Linked DNA regions of Lepisosteus oculatus. The protein of the gene in region 1 interacts with the protein of each later gene in a biochemical or structural test. Links are inferred from orthologs where the notes say so. Each region holds a gene or a part of one and is shown on either strand. Other genes may lie near its edges.

Region 1 (7,630 bases):
TTTTAATGGATCTGGTAAATTATATTAACGAATGATGATTAATGCATAACATTGTGTAGTGTTACATTTGTTGCCAGCCACATAAATAGACTTGATTTTAGAAAAAATCAGAAGCATTCAGTTCAGTTTAATTATTCCATTTAGACTGTCTTAATTTTTACATCTCTTCTGTATGCCATATCTGAGATTCTAAATAAAGGTATTTTTGAAAATGTTCTTTCAATGTCTTTGTTTAAAATATGTAAAGCAAAAGGGTAGAAATTACAGTGATGCCTGTAATTAAAATTGAAGAGGGGAAGCAGAAAAATAACTTTAGATTTAAAGTTTGCTTAAGTACCCTTTTGGATTATTTGATTAAATAAACCCTCAAGAATCAATTCACAAGAGTTAATCTATTAACAATTTATGTTATTACTACAAATTATAAACTGTCCAAGTTAAGATTAACACTGAAACATTATTTGTCAATGAATTGACATTGACAAAGGTACCAGATATTTTTGGTACTTTAGTTTGTTTTCCCATTTCCATGTTGAAAATCCTATGTGAGAACCTTACTTCTGTTATGGAAAAACAAAACATTCATCCAAAACACCTTGTCTCAACAGTACCAAACAGGACCACGCTGTTTTTTAAAAACAAAATGGCTTTGTAAATAGTGCTTGTGGGCAGCACATATTTTAGATGTGCTCAAGGTGTACATATTACAGTGTCTGTACCATAATTTTTGAAACTGCTGTTTACGAATTATAGAATTATCTCTGGCTTACTTCAGCCTCATTGAATTTACCTGCATAGATGTTCTGAAAACAGTTCATAGCGTTTAGTCAGTAGAGGTAAGAAGAGATAGCACTGACAAAAACCTATTCTACTCATATCTATAATGCAATTTTTTTTGTTGAAACTTAAAAGCACTGTATCGGAGCTCGCTTAATACCCTTACCAGCAGGAAACTGAGAAAATCAGAGCAAACTGAATCAACTAAAACCAAGAGTGAAACTAAATTGCACATTGTGTACAGTGAAAAGAGAGGTTTTAAAGCACATTTTAAATATGCAGAGCTGCAAATTCCCTAATGGATTTGAGTAGGCAGGGCACTGCACACAAGAAGACCCTGTTGACCCTTGAGCAAAAAGAACTGAATCAGCAGACCACAGATTAAGAGTTTATCTGCTCTCGTGCAACAAGTTCTTAAGATAACCTAGATCCAGAACATTCAGTGTCTTATAAATATGTATACAAAAGACATTCAGCATGAGATCGATATTTTTTGTTTTGTGCTAGCAATGAATAACTCATCTGCCCCTTTTTTTTAAATGAAGAAGAAGCTGTAGTAAACAGTTCAATAATGAAATTTGCCCTTTCAATGTATTGAACTTAATACTTGTACCACTTAAATCCACAGAAATCACACATAAAGGAATTTTGTGATTGTGAAAGGGTTTACCTGCAAAATGTTGGCATAACCATCTTAAATATGATGGGGAATCTGAAGGTTTTTACTGAGCATCAACGAAGCTTCCCAAAAACAATTGTGCAATGATAGTATGTTATTTGAAAAATAAAAATATATGGATTTTGGATATTAAATGTCTTTGTTTCAATTTTTTTAATTGATCATTCGTGACTGACCACTAAATTTTCTTTGGTGCATCAACACTAAATCGTGTGCAAGCGATGAGGTGATTTAACCTGGTGAATGTCAGATCTATCTATAATGAAGACATTATCAAGAGAACAATGCCTTTATAGCTTGTGAATACCAAAGGCCAAACAAAGTCTGAGGTGTTCACAGGAACACTGGACTGCAGTTTCTAACCTAGTTAGACTTTATAGCCAAACTCGTTAAAGATGGACCATGATCTTGGAGACCATGAGTCGTAACACCTCACCATAATCAATGGGGTCCCAGTGTGATGGTCTGGGCAGGAGTGTCCTGTCGCTACACAACTGCAGTTTTAGTGAATGCCATTAACCAGAGTGCACAGTGCTGCTCGGATCTCGTCTTGGGACATCCCATTCTGTGACCTCTTCCAGAACATGACAACCGTCCGGCGCAACAACACCTACCCTCGTGCTGCTCGGGGAACAGCAGCTTTTTCTAAAAGGTAAGAGTGGGGCAGTTATGTGGCAGTGGATGCCCTACTGCCCGGTCTCGAGCTCCACTGCCAAGAGCTGGGATGACGTGTGGCATTTAGGGTAGACTGGCCCGTGAACAGGCACTTGTTTGTCCAAGCTGTAGGAGAGGAATCTGCCACAGAATCCCACAAGGCAGCATCTGCAGCCGATACAAAGCGTGAACCAGGACTGATTCACATGTGTTGCTAGCCTAAACTTTCACAGGAAAGCCCTGTTCATACGCGGGAGTTTCATAAACTAATGTCTTGTAATAAAATGTTGAGTGCACCCGCTGCAAAAAAAAAAAAAAGATTTCCATTTTTGTGATAAATTTGTGAATTTGTTGCAGGTACACAAGGCAGGCTTCTTTTCATGCTCAGCATAATTAAATTGTGAAATCAACTAGATGTCAGTGTTGCTCTAAGAAAGCAAAAGTGGGCCTCATTAATTTCAGTTAAGGCATCCAAATAATCTCCAAACGACGTTAAAATGATAAATGTATTATTTGACACTTCTACTCTGCTAAGATTGATCTAATTGCAGATATAGGTATAAATCTGACTTTTCTTTTCAGCTTTTTAGTTTTCTAATCAAGAGGACAACAAAACGAACTAAAAAGGCTTAAGAGAGATTTGTGCGCTGAGAGCTACTCAACGCGCATTAAATGATATCAAAGGACAACAGCAACGTCCTCGATGCACAGTTTTAGCATTAAGTATTGTTTTTAACAGATGTCTCGGGTGGGTAGATTTGATAGCGAGACGCACATAAATCACAAAGATAAGCCCTTTAATCTGCTTCACCTGTTTGACTTTCACCTGTACGGAATAAAACACCAACATACGCCACTATGGCATTTTAAAAATGCGTCCGTAAATATTTTCACATTCACATTTTTGGGGGGTGGGTAACGTAACTGCACATCACAGGCGAAGGGTGAGGGTTTCATGATCGGCGGGCACCTCGATAGGTTTTCCCACGCCAATGATGAACTAATGCGGACGGCATTAAAGAAGCTATTCCGATGTGCTGCTGCTTGCGTGTCCCTGTCGGCAGACGGGTCTGACTGCAGCCCATTGAGTGACTGGAGAGGACTTTTTTTTTTTGGCTAAACTCCTGCCCCAGGTGTTGCTGTTTGATCCCTACCGGTCTCCGTACTGGAATTTCAAGTGCATGACGTCACTCCCGCTGCCAACAAGAAAGTTCGCAAGTCCTGGGCAGAACTTTTTTTTTCCCTCCCTTAGAGAAAGAGGGGGGATTTAACTCCAAATTCGCGGTGTCTCAACTACGGCTAAATAAAGTCTTACGTAACGCTCTCCTGTGTGCCTTTTTCTAATGATAAGCGTACGGCCAGCCCCAGGGAACCATGGTAATATAGGCAAAAGCAAAGTCAACGAGCAAGGTTTAGATGGAGGATCGGCAAGGTAAGTAGCTCATTTGAACTCACTTAGCAAAAGGGTTTATGATGCGACAAAGTTTACATTCTTATCTTTGCGGCATTTGCCAGTAAATCCTAGTTAAATTCGCAATATATATATATAATCTTCACTGTTGCCCCGTTTATAGTGGAGTTAAAGTTAGGGGGGAGCATTTTCAAATTCCAGTATTAGCGAACCTGTTGTAACCTGAATACCAGCCTGCGAACACGCAACTTTCAGGTTTGGTGAGAGCTCCTCCGGTCGCAATTATTGTGTTTAGTTTGGGTTTCTTTCATGTTTTTAATCCAGCAGCCCGAGTGAGGCGATATGCTAAATGTGTTGAGCACCAAAGCTCGGGAAAGTGAAATGTGTGTGTGTACATATATATGTGTGAATTTCTTTCAATACACCGCTGAACCCTTTCCCCTTGAAGGTTTGTATTGATTCCAGTCAAAAGTTTAACACTTAAATGCACACTTCTGTGTCTAGGTTATGAACAGCTGGTGGTTCATTTTTTTAGGAAGGTGTGAAATATTCTGGAAGTGTTGGTGCGCACATTTTAAAAGGCGACGACTGCTTCTCCCCAGCCTGCGGGAAAAAGTCACAGCTCAGTCTGCAGTCGCTCAATTTTGATCCCTGTGCGTGTATAAATTAGCTGGTATTTCATAGCTTTTCTGTCTAAAAATAACTTGGACAAAAAAAGTCCCCCTAACTCAAACCATACTTCGGCTATGATCGTTTGGACACAGATCAATCCCGTAGGGTTACATAATGACACTTTAATGGCTCCTTTTAAAGCTGTTTTGCTTTTCTATTCAGACTGTTTTATCTAAATAAATACCTTTTAATTTTGTAAAAGTGCAAAAAAAACTGTTACAATTATTAAAAAATGCAGGGTTTTTTTTAAGGAGCTCCTTTTAAGTTCCAAAATCAAGTAGCGCAGTAAATCGCTGATTTATGCTGCGCTAAAAGGTCGGGGAGGACGGTTGCTTTTGTTACGAGTTCTTAAAGAAAACCAGTCGCTGCTGTGGTGCAAGTGGATGTTTGTGCCGTCCAAATGCGATGTTTTTTTTTTCTCACGCCTCACGACACTGTCTGGTCCTCAGGTGACGAGTCTTACCGTTGTGTGGGGTGTGGAAGCAGGATTCTGGACACTTTCTACATCAAAGTTCTCCAAGACGTTTGGCACAACTCCTGCTTTCAGTAAGTGCAAGAAGCTGCTGTGCGCAATTGTGACTGATGTTAAAATGCGCCTGGCTTAAAACTCACTGTTTGTCCTGTGCAACTGCAGTCTTCATTTGATTTCACTTTGACCAGTGGTTCAGAGATGCACCTTGACGTTTTGTTTTTGTTACATTATGAGCTGTAGCAAATAAAATAGTTTTTTTCCGATATCTACGGCTTTCGCAGTTTTTTTTTACTGATTTTTATTATTATTGTGGCAAACCTAGTCATTTTCTTTAGCCGGGCTAAAGCATGCACTGAGCTTTTTTTAGCGCTAGACAGCATATAAAGTCGAAATGTATTTGTACTTATTATATAGGTACAATATGTATTTAAACCGATACCTTTCTTCACACGCCTGTTTCAGTTTTTGAGTCTTTAGAGACTTCTCAGTGTCGTCTTACCGTCTCTTTCCTATGTTGACTTTAAAGCAGGTGAGCTGTCAGTGGTAATAATGAATAATAATTGCTTACACTTATATAGCGCTTTTCTGGACACTCCACTCAAAGCGCTTTACAGGTAATGGGGATCCCCTCCACCACCACCAATGTGCAGCATCCACCTGGATGATGCGACGGCAGCCATAGTGCAACAGTACGCTCACCACACATCAGCTATCAGTGGGGAGGAGAGCAGAGTAATGTAGCCAATTCATAGAAGGGGATTATTAGGAGGCCATGATTGGTAAAGGCCAATTGGAAATTTGGCCAGGACACCGGGGTTACACCCCTACTCTTTTCGAGAAACACCCTGGGATTTTTAATGACCACAGAGAGTCAGGACCTCGGTTTTACGTCTCATCCGAAGGACGGCACCTGTTTACAGTATAGTGTCCCCATCACTATACTGGGGCATTAGGACCCACATGGACCACAGTGTGAGCACCCCCTGCTGGCCCCACTAACACCTCTTCCAGCAGCAACCTTAGTTTTTCCCAGGAGGTCTCCCATCCAGGTACCGACCAGGCTCACACCTGCCTAGCTTCAGTGGGTTGCCAGTTGTGAGTTGCAGGGTGATATGGCTGCTGGCTGTATGCTGTAGTCATACATCTCCAGGGATTTGAATAGGAATTAACTTCTAGGATCTGTCAGTATTGTAGACAGGCATGTGATGCACGAATTTTAACTGTTCGTACTTCGGTGAATTCAGTGTTGTTAAGTCCTGGGATCTGTAGAGTGCATTTCATCACACAGGATACCAAAGCACTTCTAACTATAAGAGGGGATCTGCTTGAGTGATGTCTGGCACCAGAGTCCCCCATGCAATGAAGATCAGAAGGAGGAGGTAGTAAGTGTCCCACCAGCTGAATTATTGGGATATTTACTCAGATCGGATTGTGCTGTTGTAGAGTGGAATTTAGCCAGGACTACAGGTGATCAGTGCCATGGGATCTTAATTAATGACCCAGTCAGTTTGACATCTAAAGGGACACTGCTGTAGGAGCTGCTTTTACTTCACATCTCCTTACTGGGAGACTGATGTGGAAATTCGGATCCAGAGGGGAGTCACCCACTCTCATCCCGATACTGGCTGGACCCAGCCTCGCTCAGCTTCTGAGATCTGATGAGATCAGGCTACGAGGTGGTAACGCTGTTGCCTTTTATGAAACATTTCAGCAGTGTGACTTTATAAAATGAGAATTGTTGCGATCAGACGTTACACAAAGGGCTGTCACTATTGTGAGTGTGTTTTGCAGCGTCGAGTTCTTTGTGCTGACTAATTCTGAGCCTTCTTGTGTGCATGCCAGTATGGGTGGGGAGAAGCCTTTTGTTATAATTGAGTTTTATTTGAACAGCTCACAGATTGCATACTTAAGAAAATACTGTACATAGTTGTTACTGTAGCTGTAAAGAGTCACGTAAGCAGGTATCCCGTTCTTAAGATCCTATTGCACAGGGGAAGTGTTTTTTAATAAAATATACATTTTGCTTTGCATAAATCCTTCCAAAACTTTACTTACAATTTGTTTTCTTAGAAGAAAATCCATGGTGGTTTATAGTATAGAAGAATGACAATGTCTAAGTGCCAGGAACAATAGGGCAGTTGCAGTAACGTAATTTAATAAAACCGTATTGGGGCTGGAACACACTGCATGAGCAATCCAAGTTCCATGCAAACTTGATGAAATGATGTCAAAACAGTATGCAGGTAGTATGCATACAGGGTAATAATGTAAACACCCTGTAGGTATATATGCTTTGTTTGAAGTGAGTAATCGTAATTAGCAGGTTGCGGTACCAGTTTGGCCGTTCAAGACTTGAGTGCAGTCCAGTGGTGTTCAGGGAGAGCAGAGTGCTGCTTGAACAGGTGAGTCTCGAGCAGACTCTGAAAGGAGGTCAGGCCCTGGGCAGTTCTGCTCTCGGTTCATGGGATTACCTAGGAACAAGGGTGGAGAAGGAAGGAGCTCAGCAGGTAGGAGGGGAGTGGTGATACGGACAGGAGGAGTGGAGAGAGAGGGAGCAGGTATCGGCAGAGATAAGGGACTGAAGACAGGGCAGGAGCAGAATGGTTGATAGAGCTGAAAGTGAGAACTAATATTTGAATTGGTTGCCCACAGCAATAGAGAACCAGGGAAGGCACTGTTCCTATAAAGATCAGATATACGGAACTCAAAGCATGTCTTGCGTTTTTAAAGGAAAACATTTCTTGCTCTTCGTTTTCAATGAATTGTCATTGGAACTTATTTTTATTTAAGTCCATGTGGTTTCACATGTATCTTATATATATATATAGTGTACTTATCTATCTAGTAATCTGTGTGCATAATTGAAGCAGCCAGTGTAAAGGTCCAGTGGACCCTGTAGAACTGTTTCTGGAGCGATTATGGATTTTGCTGAGCAAAGGGGGTTTGTATCTGTGGTTTCCATGAA
Region 2 (7,630 bases), on another chromosome or scaffold:
CTTCATCCCTTAATGTGGCTCTTTCGCTGTGGTATTCCTGCACAAATATTCATTTATAAGGGCTTGTTCTAATACATTTTTTGTTCACAATTTGCTGTGCTTTATTTCATTGACTGGATGCTGTTCTTTCTGAAACGGTTTAGTGCTGTTTTCTTATATTGGTCTGAACATATTTTGTAAATCATGTGTGCCATTACCCCCTATGTCCTACGATTCACTTCCTCTACGTATGAACCTGTTCTGGGCTTCAAGCAGGATATCTTTAAACTGCTGCAGTCTGCCGATATCTATCCAATCCCATTCTGCTTCATTCTTCTCTGCTTTTCCGCGATAGGTAACCTTTGTTTTGAACACGTTTGTACAGCTTTAAAATATACTTTAAAGCACAAAATACGATGACCACATTTTCATGATGGTTCTCCCATCTGTGATGATCCTTCAAAGTCAGGATCAATACAGGTGTTCCCTCCTGTAGGCATTCTGACACACTGAGAAAGTGGCCATTAGCCACGTCTCGCATTTCAGTGTCCAGTGTTGATATCCTCAGTGCTTCTTCTCCATCTACAATAGAAAATTAAAATCGTACAAGATTCACACTTACGCTTCCTCCTTTACGCTAACATTCCTGATTTCGTGATACTGAGCATCAAAAGATGCATCGCGCACAACCGAAACAAGTCAGCATGTCTTTGTAGCAGGTACGCTGATTTTCATCCACAGGGCGGTCCGCAGGGAGTCCACTGCGTAAGGCTTTTGCACCAGGTGCAGACACGCCGTCGTGTCGAGACCCTCCGCCATGCCTGTCATAGAGGCTGCCTGTGTCCTCTTCTCCCCCTCCTTCACGTGCTGAGCAGCTCAGGCCAGCGAGAGCGGCAGCCGCCCGAGCAGCTTGAGCAGGAGGCCCGCTGTCAGGCCAGGACGAGCCCGTGCTCTCAAGACGCCACCTGTCCCTACAAGAGGGGAAGCAGCTGAGAGCTCCTGCCACACCGTCACACCTGCGCTCTGCATGGCTGTGTCACGGCCACACAGAATCAGAGACCCTTCCCATCCCCACACACGCCGTCACATCGACTGATCATCCAATCACACCTGTCAGTCACCTCCACACCCCCTGGGCTCGTGACCATCACCACGGTTTACCAGTGGAGCTCCTGGTTCTCGTCCTCGACACTTCCTGACTGCTGTTAACCTTCTGAACCTCCGGCTTCGTCCAAGACTACGATTCCTGGTCCTGAGACTTGGTTAAGTACACCTGGCCTCCCCTAATCCTGTTCCTTCCTTGTTGTCCAGTTCCGCATAGGGTCCAATTCTACCTTTGTTTTGGCCTGCTATCCGTAACACTCTGCACTCAACGACGGCTCGCCCGCCCGAGAGCCCACCTGCTTTCTGCTGTGAGCACTGGACTCTGGTGTGGTTATCTTGCCGGCAAACAATCTTAATGAAAAATCCTGGTGACCATAAATATATGTAAAAGAAATGGCTGTTTGTGAACACATCACACAGCATGTGACAGTGTGCCGACTTCCAGCCTCAACACACCAGCGGCATAAAGGCACTGCTCTCGTAAGAGGTGGGGCAGCTGTAAGTCCTTTCTGCGTTGTGATCAAGTGTTTCATGCAGTAGTACACAGTCTGAATCAGTGGTTCTCTCACCAGAATCCTAACCCAGCAGAAAAAAGGGCCGAACAATGGTTTGCTCTTCAGATGTACACTAATTCAGTGAATGTGTTTGAGCCATAAATCGGTATAGAAAAGAACTATCAAGGCAAAAGTGTGAATTTGTTGTAATTTTGGAAAGGCTGAATGAGGCTTTTCATGATTTCACACCTGGAATGTCCTGATGTACAAACCATGATCAACGCAGTAGAGAGCACAGGAGAAGAAATAGGGTGTTCCTAGGGTTAGGGTTCAAATTTCTAGAAAAGCTTGAACAAAAAGAAGATGATCTTTTTCTTTAAATGGGCCAAGTTAATCAAGTTTCAATGTCTTTAAGGACACAACTGGAAAAGTTTGATAAAGTGTTTTGTGGTAGTAGCACAAAGACTTATACAGTACCCAATGGCACTAACGGGAAATAGTCAAAGAAGTAAAAAATGTCCAGGGTGTGTGTAACTGTGTGTGTCCTGTGATGGACTGGTGTCCTGTCCAGGGTGTGTGTGTGTGTCCTGTGATGGACTGGTGTCCTGTCCAGGGTGTGTGTGTGTGTCCTGTGATGGACTGGTGTCCTGTCCAGAGTGTGTGTGTCCTGTGATGGACTGGCGTCCTGTCCAGGGTGTGTGTGTGTGTGTCCTGTGATGGACTGGTGTCATGTCCAGGGTGTGTGAGTGTGTGTGTCTGTGTGTGTCCTGTGATGGACTGGCGTCCTGTCCAGGGTGTGTGTGTGTGTGTCCTGCGATGGACTGTTGTACCCTGCTTTTTGCCTGTTGTTTGCTGGGATAGACTCCAGCTCCCCTGTGAGCCTGGACTGGAAGAAGTAGTTAGGAAATGGGAGGATGGATGAACAATTCATGTTGTTGTGACTGGTGTTTGGACGTCTGTCTGCGATGGTGGTATCCTGCTGGGGCTGGACAAGGGGACACAGCACCTGGTGTCCCTGATAACACAAGGACTGCGGGACGCGGGGGACACTCTCATCTGGGGGAGAGGATCCCTGCGGATCTCAGAGGCAGGATGAAGCACGGTGCCGCCGAGTGGGGATCTCCGCGGCGAGGGGCGCTGGGAGGGACTGTGGGCCCCTGAGCTCCGGCTCCGCAGGTCCAGAGCCGGGACAGGGAAACGACACGGACAACAGCAAGGGGTCGGCCTGGAGGGACTCTTTCACTGCGCGAATCCAGCCCCATCCTCCACTTGCACGGATTGACAACGGACAAGCACCTCACTCGGAAAGTTTTAATTTGTTGACAGTTTGATTATTAATGATCTATTGAGATCATTAATAACTGTAAAACTAATGGTTACGAATAGAGTTTCTCTTACCACACACACGAATTCTTACCAGGCTAAAGCGAGTGTTTTATGAAAGGTGATGGATAGCCTTTTATAAAATCCCATTTGGAACCTCTTATCTTCCGTTTCAGGGCAGTTCAGTTTGTCATATGCACAAGGGCATTGAATTGTTTGTGGATCCCCAGAGTACCCATGAAAAATATTTTTCAGCCGATAACGTTATCTTCCTCACCCTTTCCTCTGTTCAGCTCTGCCTCAGCCCTGTGATTCCTTCCTAGCACATTCAACAAGCCAGATAATCATTTTTCATTCACAGTGACGAGCTGGAGACCCAGCATGTACAGCATAGCATCTACTGGAGCAATTCCTGAGCGCCCTAGCTACTCACAGCAACGACAGCCGGCGTCCCAGCTACCACACCCAAGGTTCAGGGACCCTAACCTCCGCATTTCTGCCACACACATTTTGCAGTTGCATTTTCACCGTAGTTTGATATTTCACCGAAACAGGTTTGTAAAAGACGACTGTAACAGCGCGGCCCGGCGGACAGGCAAGGGGCCGCGCTCCCGACGCGCGGCCCCGACGGCCGGGCACGGGCACGGGCACGGGCCGTCCCGAGCGCGCCCCCCCCCCCCACGCCATTGGCGCCTGCGCAGTGGCGCGCGAGCTCGAGCTTTTGCCTCTCCGGCTGTTTGAACAGGAAGGCGGACATGTTTGTCAGAGAGGCAGGGAAAGTCGGGCACTTTTTGCAGTTCGAAAAATAACAACGACTCTCGGGAGCCGGATCGCCCTTTCTCGGAAGCCTCGGGATCCAGCATGCCGGCCCTGGCGACACCCCTGGGCCGCGGAGCTTGAGCGCTGTTCGGCGAGGTGACCCCCGGAGCGACATGTTTCATCGGGGCCGTGTTGTAAAACCGAGCACGGTTTTCAGGGGCTGAAGTTTTTTTTTTTACTACTTTTTTTTGTCCTCTCTCTCCTTCCCCCCCCCCTCCCCACCGCACCCCCCACCCACCAAGTCAGTTCTACTTTTGCAGCTGTCAGACACGCTCGGATTTAAAAAAACAAACAAGCAAGGCAGAAAACAACAGCCAAAGAAAAAGTTCTCGCTGCCTCCAGGGCCCCTCCGACCCAGCTGTGCCAGGCCGTGAGTGCGGTATCTTGTGTGAATCATGCTAACTGCCTCTTCTCATCCTGCTGCGGCTCTCGCTGTTTCTGGGGGGAGTGGGAGCGAAATGACCGTGCTCCGCGTCTGGAGGCTGTAGCCCTGAGGGCGAAACTCGGGGACCAGAGAGGGCGAGAGATCCGTTGCGGCGTGTTTTGATTTTATTTCATTTTATTATTATTATTATTTTTTAAAAGAAGTGAAGTTGTCAGCCCAGCTCGGAGCTCGGAGCAGCAGGAGAGCTGACCGGCTCAGACAGTTTTCTCTCTTAAGATGTGGCTTTGGACCCGCCGGGCACTGGCTGAAGGTTTCTCCGACTGTGAGCGGCTGGCTCGCCTCTTGAAGCGGGTCTGACCGGCTGCGGACCCGACCCGACCCGGCCCGACCCCAGGGAGGCAGGCTTTGCACGCCGTGCCCCAGAGGACAAGGGAGAGAGAGAGAGAGAAAAAAAAAAACCCAGAACTGACAGCAAAAATGTCCGCTGGAGAGAGCTTGGAGGCTCGGTTTGAAAAGATCGATGCCATGCTCAAGGATCCCAAATCGGAAGTTAATACCGATTGCCTGCTGGTGAGTGTCCGGGATGTGTGTGTGTGTGTCTTGTCTGTGTTGGGGTTTTCCCCCCTCTCTGTCTCTCTCGTTTCAAATGATACTGCAAAAAAAGTAGTAATAATAATAATGAATTGCACGGGTGTGTTCGGTTCTGTTTAGTGATCGCATTTTAATGAGCTCGCTGCCCAGTTGCCGGGGGGGGTGGGGGTGGGGGTTAGACATTAAAAACTCGACTGTGCGGAGTTAAAACCACGTAGCTCCTCCGTGTCACGCAATGGTGTGTGCGACTGAACAGCACTGGCGTTTTCTTCTCTGACATAACTTCTGTGTTATGCGTTTCTGGTGTTCACAGTCCTGCTCGCCGCTGAGACCCGATGTCTGGTGCTCGCCTGGAAATGTGCTTTTTTTTTACTGTTGTTGCACGACTTAGACACTTCAGAAGCGTCGGCTAACGTAGTCATTCACACTCCCACACAGGGGGAAAAAAAACCCCTCTCTCTCTGAGAGCATTTTAACCTACAAGCAAGCTGTGTGCAGTTCCTGTTGTCGGACTGAGATTCCCTAAGCTGGTGATAAATCGTCAATCGGAAATTATTTAAATAAAGAGAACCCCCCCCCCCAAAAAAAAAAACACCCCAGCACACTGTCATGCGGTAGGCGAGACCGTGTTTTGCCAGCCTGTTGCTCCTGTCACACGGACACCGTGGGCAGCTCACACTCACAGGGACGTGTCCAGCCGGGCCCTGCACGGCGAGAGCGCCACTCGGACCACGGGGACACGGGTGGCGGTGATCCAGTGGGCCCGGATACCGCTTTGCCCGTTACAGCATAGTTCAGTGCTGCTGCCTTGCGGGGTGACCGTCACCACCCGAGGCCCCGGCGCACAGCCGCCCCCGGCTGGAGTGGCTGGGCAGGGTGGCCGAGTCGGTGCTCCTTCCTGTACGACAGCTGAACCGCCGTTAAGTACGTGGTGGTGTTGGTTTTTTTGCAGTTACAGTTGAGCCGGGTCGTAACTTTGTTTGCCGCTCAATGCTTGTTTGACGGTAGCTGTCAAACGAGCCAGCGACTCACGAGTTAAGGGGGAACTTCTGTTGCTTGGAAAGTGATTTTTTTTAGGGGCCTGTTCAATATTAGGGTAGGGATAATTGTCATGAGCCAGTGGGCCGTTTTTTTCCCATTTTTCCTCACACCAGGGCCAGTTTTCCCAGAAGCCAGTTAACCCACAAGTGTGTTTCTGGACTGTGGGAGGAAACCCACACAAACACGGGGAGAACATGCAGACTCCACACAGACAGCACCCCGGGAACAGAACCCAGGGCCCCAGCCCTGCGAGTCCGCAGTGCTGGCCACCGGGCTGCCCGATTCCTGGTCCACTCATTGAGAACATTCCGGCCTGTTCTGTCCTCCGCTCAGTGAGGTGGGGCTGATGGGAAGATTGTCAGTGCCTCCTTTCCCCTTTGTCCTGCCTAAGTTCCAGTGTCTGTAATAGCGATTCACTTCTTAGACAGACTCTTCAAGCTTCCAGCGATATACTCATGGAAAATGGCATTTAAGCTGCACGTTGAGGGTGTGTGTCAGGTTTCATTAACAGATTCGTCTGGAAAGTTCCAGGATTGCCTGTCTGATCTCCCCCTTTTTTTTCCATCCTCGGTTTGGCCTAAAATATTCCAAAATCCTAATTCGCACGAGGGCAGTCCATGAGTTCTGAGAGCCCCGGCTAGTCGAATTCCTCGCGCTCACTCCTGAGTGAATCGGGGTTCGTCTTGCCGAAGGTGCGCGTGTGTGCGCGAGAGGCGTCATTCATGGGAGAAGCCATGCTCCAGAAGGAAAATCTCGGCGTCGGCTCCTACAAGAGCTGTCGGAGATGGTGTGAGCCGCCGAGCCCCGAGATGCAGAAGCAGAGCTGGGTGCGAGATTGTCGAAATGGCTCGTATGGCTAGGAAGTCAACAGAAACAGGATCTTTCTCATCCGCTCTGGTGGAGGTCCTGCAAATAACACTCGGCTGTGGAGGAGGATGGCGCTGGGGGGAAATTCAGATTTTTTTAATCTGTGGCAGCGAGTCCACTCTTCAGTTTTGAGTTCAAGCGGAACAGTCGACGCAGGTCCCCCCTTGTTGCATGTCAGCGTGCCAGCGTAATTATCGCGACACACGCACCCCAGCAGCATCAGCAGCTCTCCAGGGCTGAGGGCCTGTTGGGGGGCCCGCTGGCACCCCGATTAATCCCACACAGCGTTTTGTTATGCCATAAGTCATATCTGGTATTTGTTGTCTGAAAGCATTCCAGGATTCTCAATGTGTTGATTGCAGTGTACTGTTCGCATGACTTGATTTCATCTTTTAAAAGAGAGATCGTGATGATGTTTGCAGGCAGGATGTAAAGGTGACCTAATTTTGGGGGTGATCTTGGATTCTTGTCAGTTCTTCTCAGTTGACCAGTCGTATGTAGAAGCTTCCTGTTGGCCAGTCATTACCTTGTATTACTGTGTGTTATGTCTTCCCTGTAAGAAGCAAAAGGTGGCTTATAATCAGTCCTCAGATGTGGAGTTATTCTGTCTGTTACTCTTGGTGGCATTGGTACTTGTGTAACAAGCACCTGTGCACTCAGAGGGAGAAACAAGGGGTTTTGCTCAGTTTAGGGGTGCCTGAGATATTTGCTCACACTTTCCTGGGTAGTGTTCGCTCACTGCAGGAGATGCTGCCAAAAACCAATCCAGAGCTTCAACAAAGGGCTTGAATGCGAAGACTAGGGCTCCGTAATGAATCGGTGGTGTATTTCATGGCCTCTTTCCTTGTTTTATTCAGAAACAGCTGAAGGAGAAGCTCAAACATGTCTGCTTTTTTAAAAAGGGGGCTTTTCAGGGTCTCTGTAAGGCTCTTACATCCTGCCTTTCAGTATAAACCTCTGAATCTTCAAGGTAGAGGGATTTTTGCAGAATTCTGTCTGATTTTGCGAGAGGCGTGACGTGCCCTTT

The links.
Region 2: of the proteins of limk2 (region 1) and rock1, one has a biochemical effect on the other in vitro, tested with the Homo sapiens proteins (2 studies listed by BioGRID). The link is inferred for Lepisosteus oculatus from reciprocal best matches to the Homo sapiens genes LIMK2 and ROCK1.

Annotation. Positions count from the first base shown.
Region 1 is NC_090717.1:6,600,194-6,607,823, forward strand, and holds the start of limk2 (LIM domain kinase 2), read left to right. Parts: upstream 1-3,064; 5' UTR 3,065-3,526; coding exon 3,527-3,542; intron 3,543-4,642; coding exon 4,643-4,739; intron 4,740-7,630. UniProt on the Homo sapiens protein: Serine/threonine-protein kinase that plays an essential role in the regulation of actin filament dynamics. Acts downstream of several Rho family GTPase signal transduction pathways.
Region 2 is NC_090701.1:57,292,975-57,300,604, reverse strand, and holds the start of rock1 (rho-associated protein kinase 1), read left to right. Parts: upstream 1-3,616; 5' UTR 3,617-4,581; coding exon 4,582-4,674; intron 4,675-7,630. UniProt on the Homo sapiens protein: Protein kinase which is a key regulator of the actin cytoskeleton and cell polarity.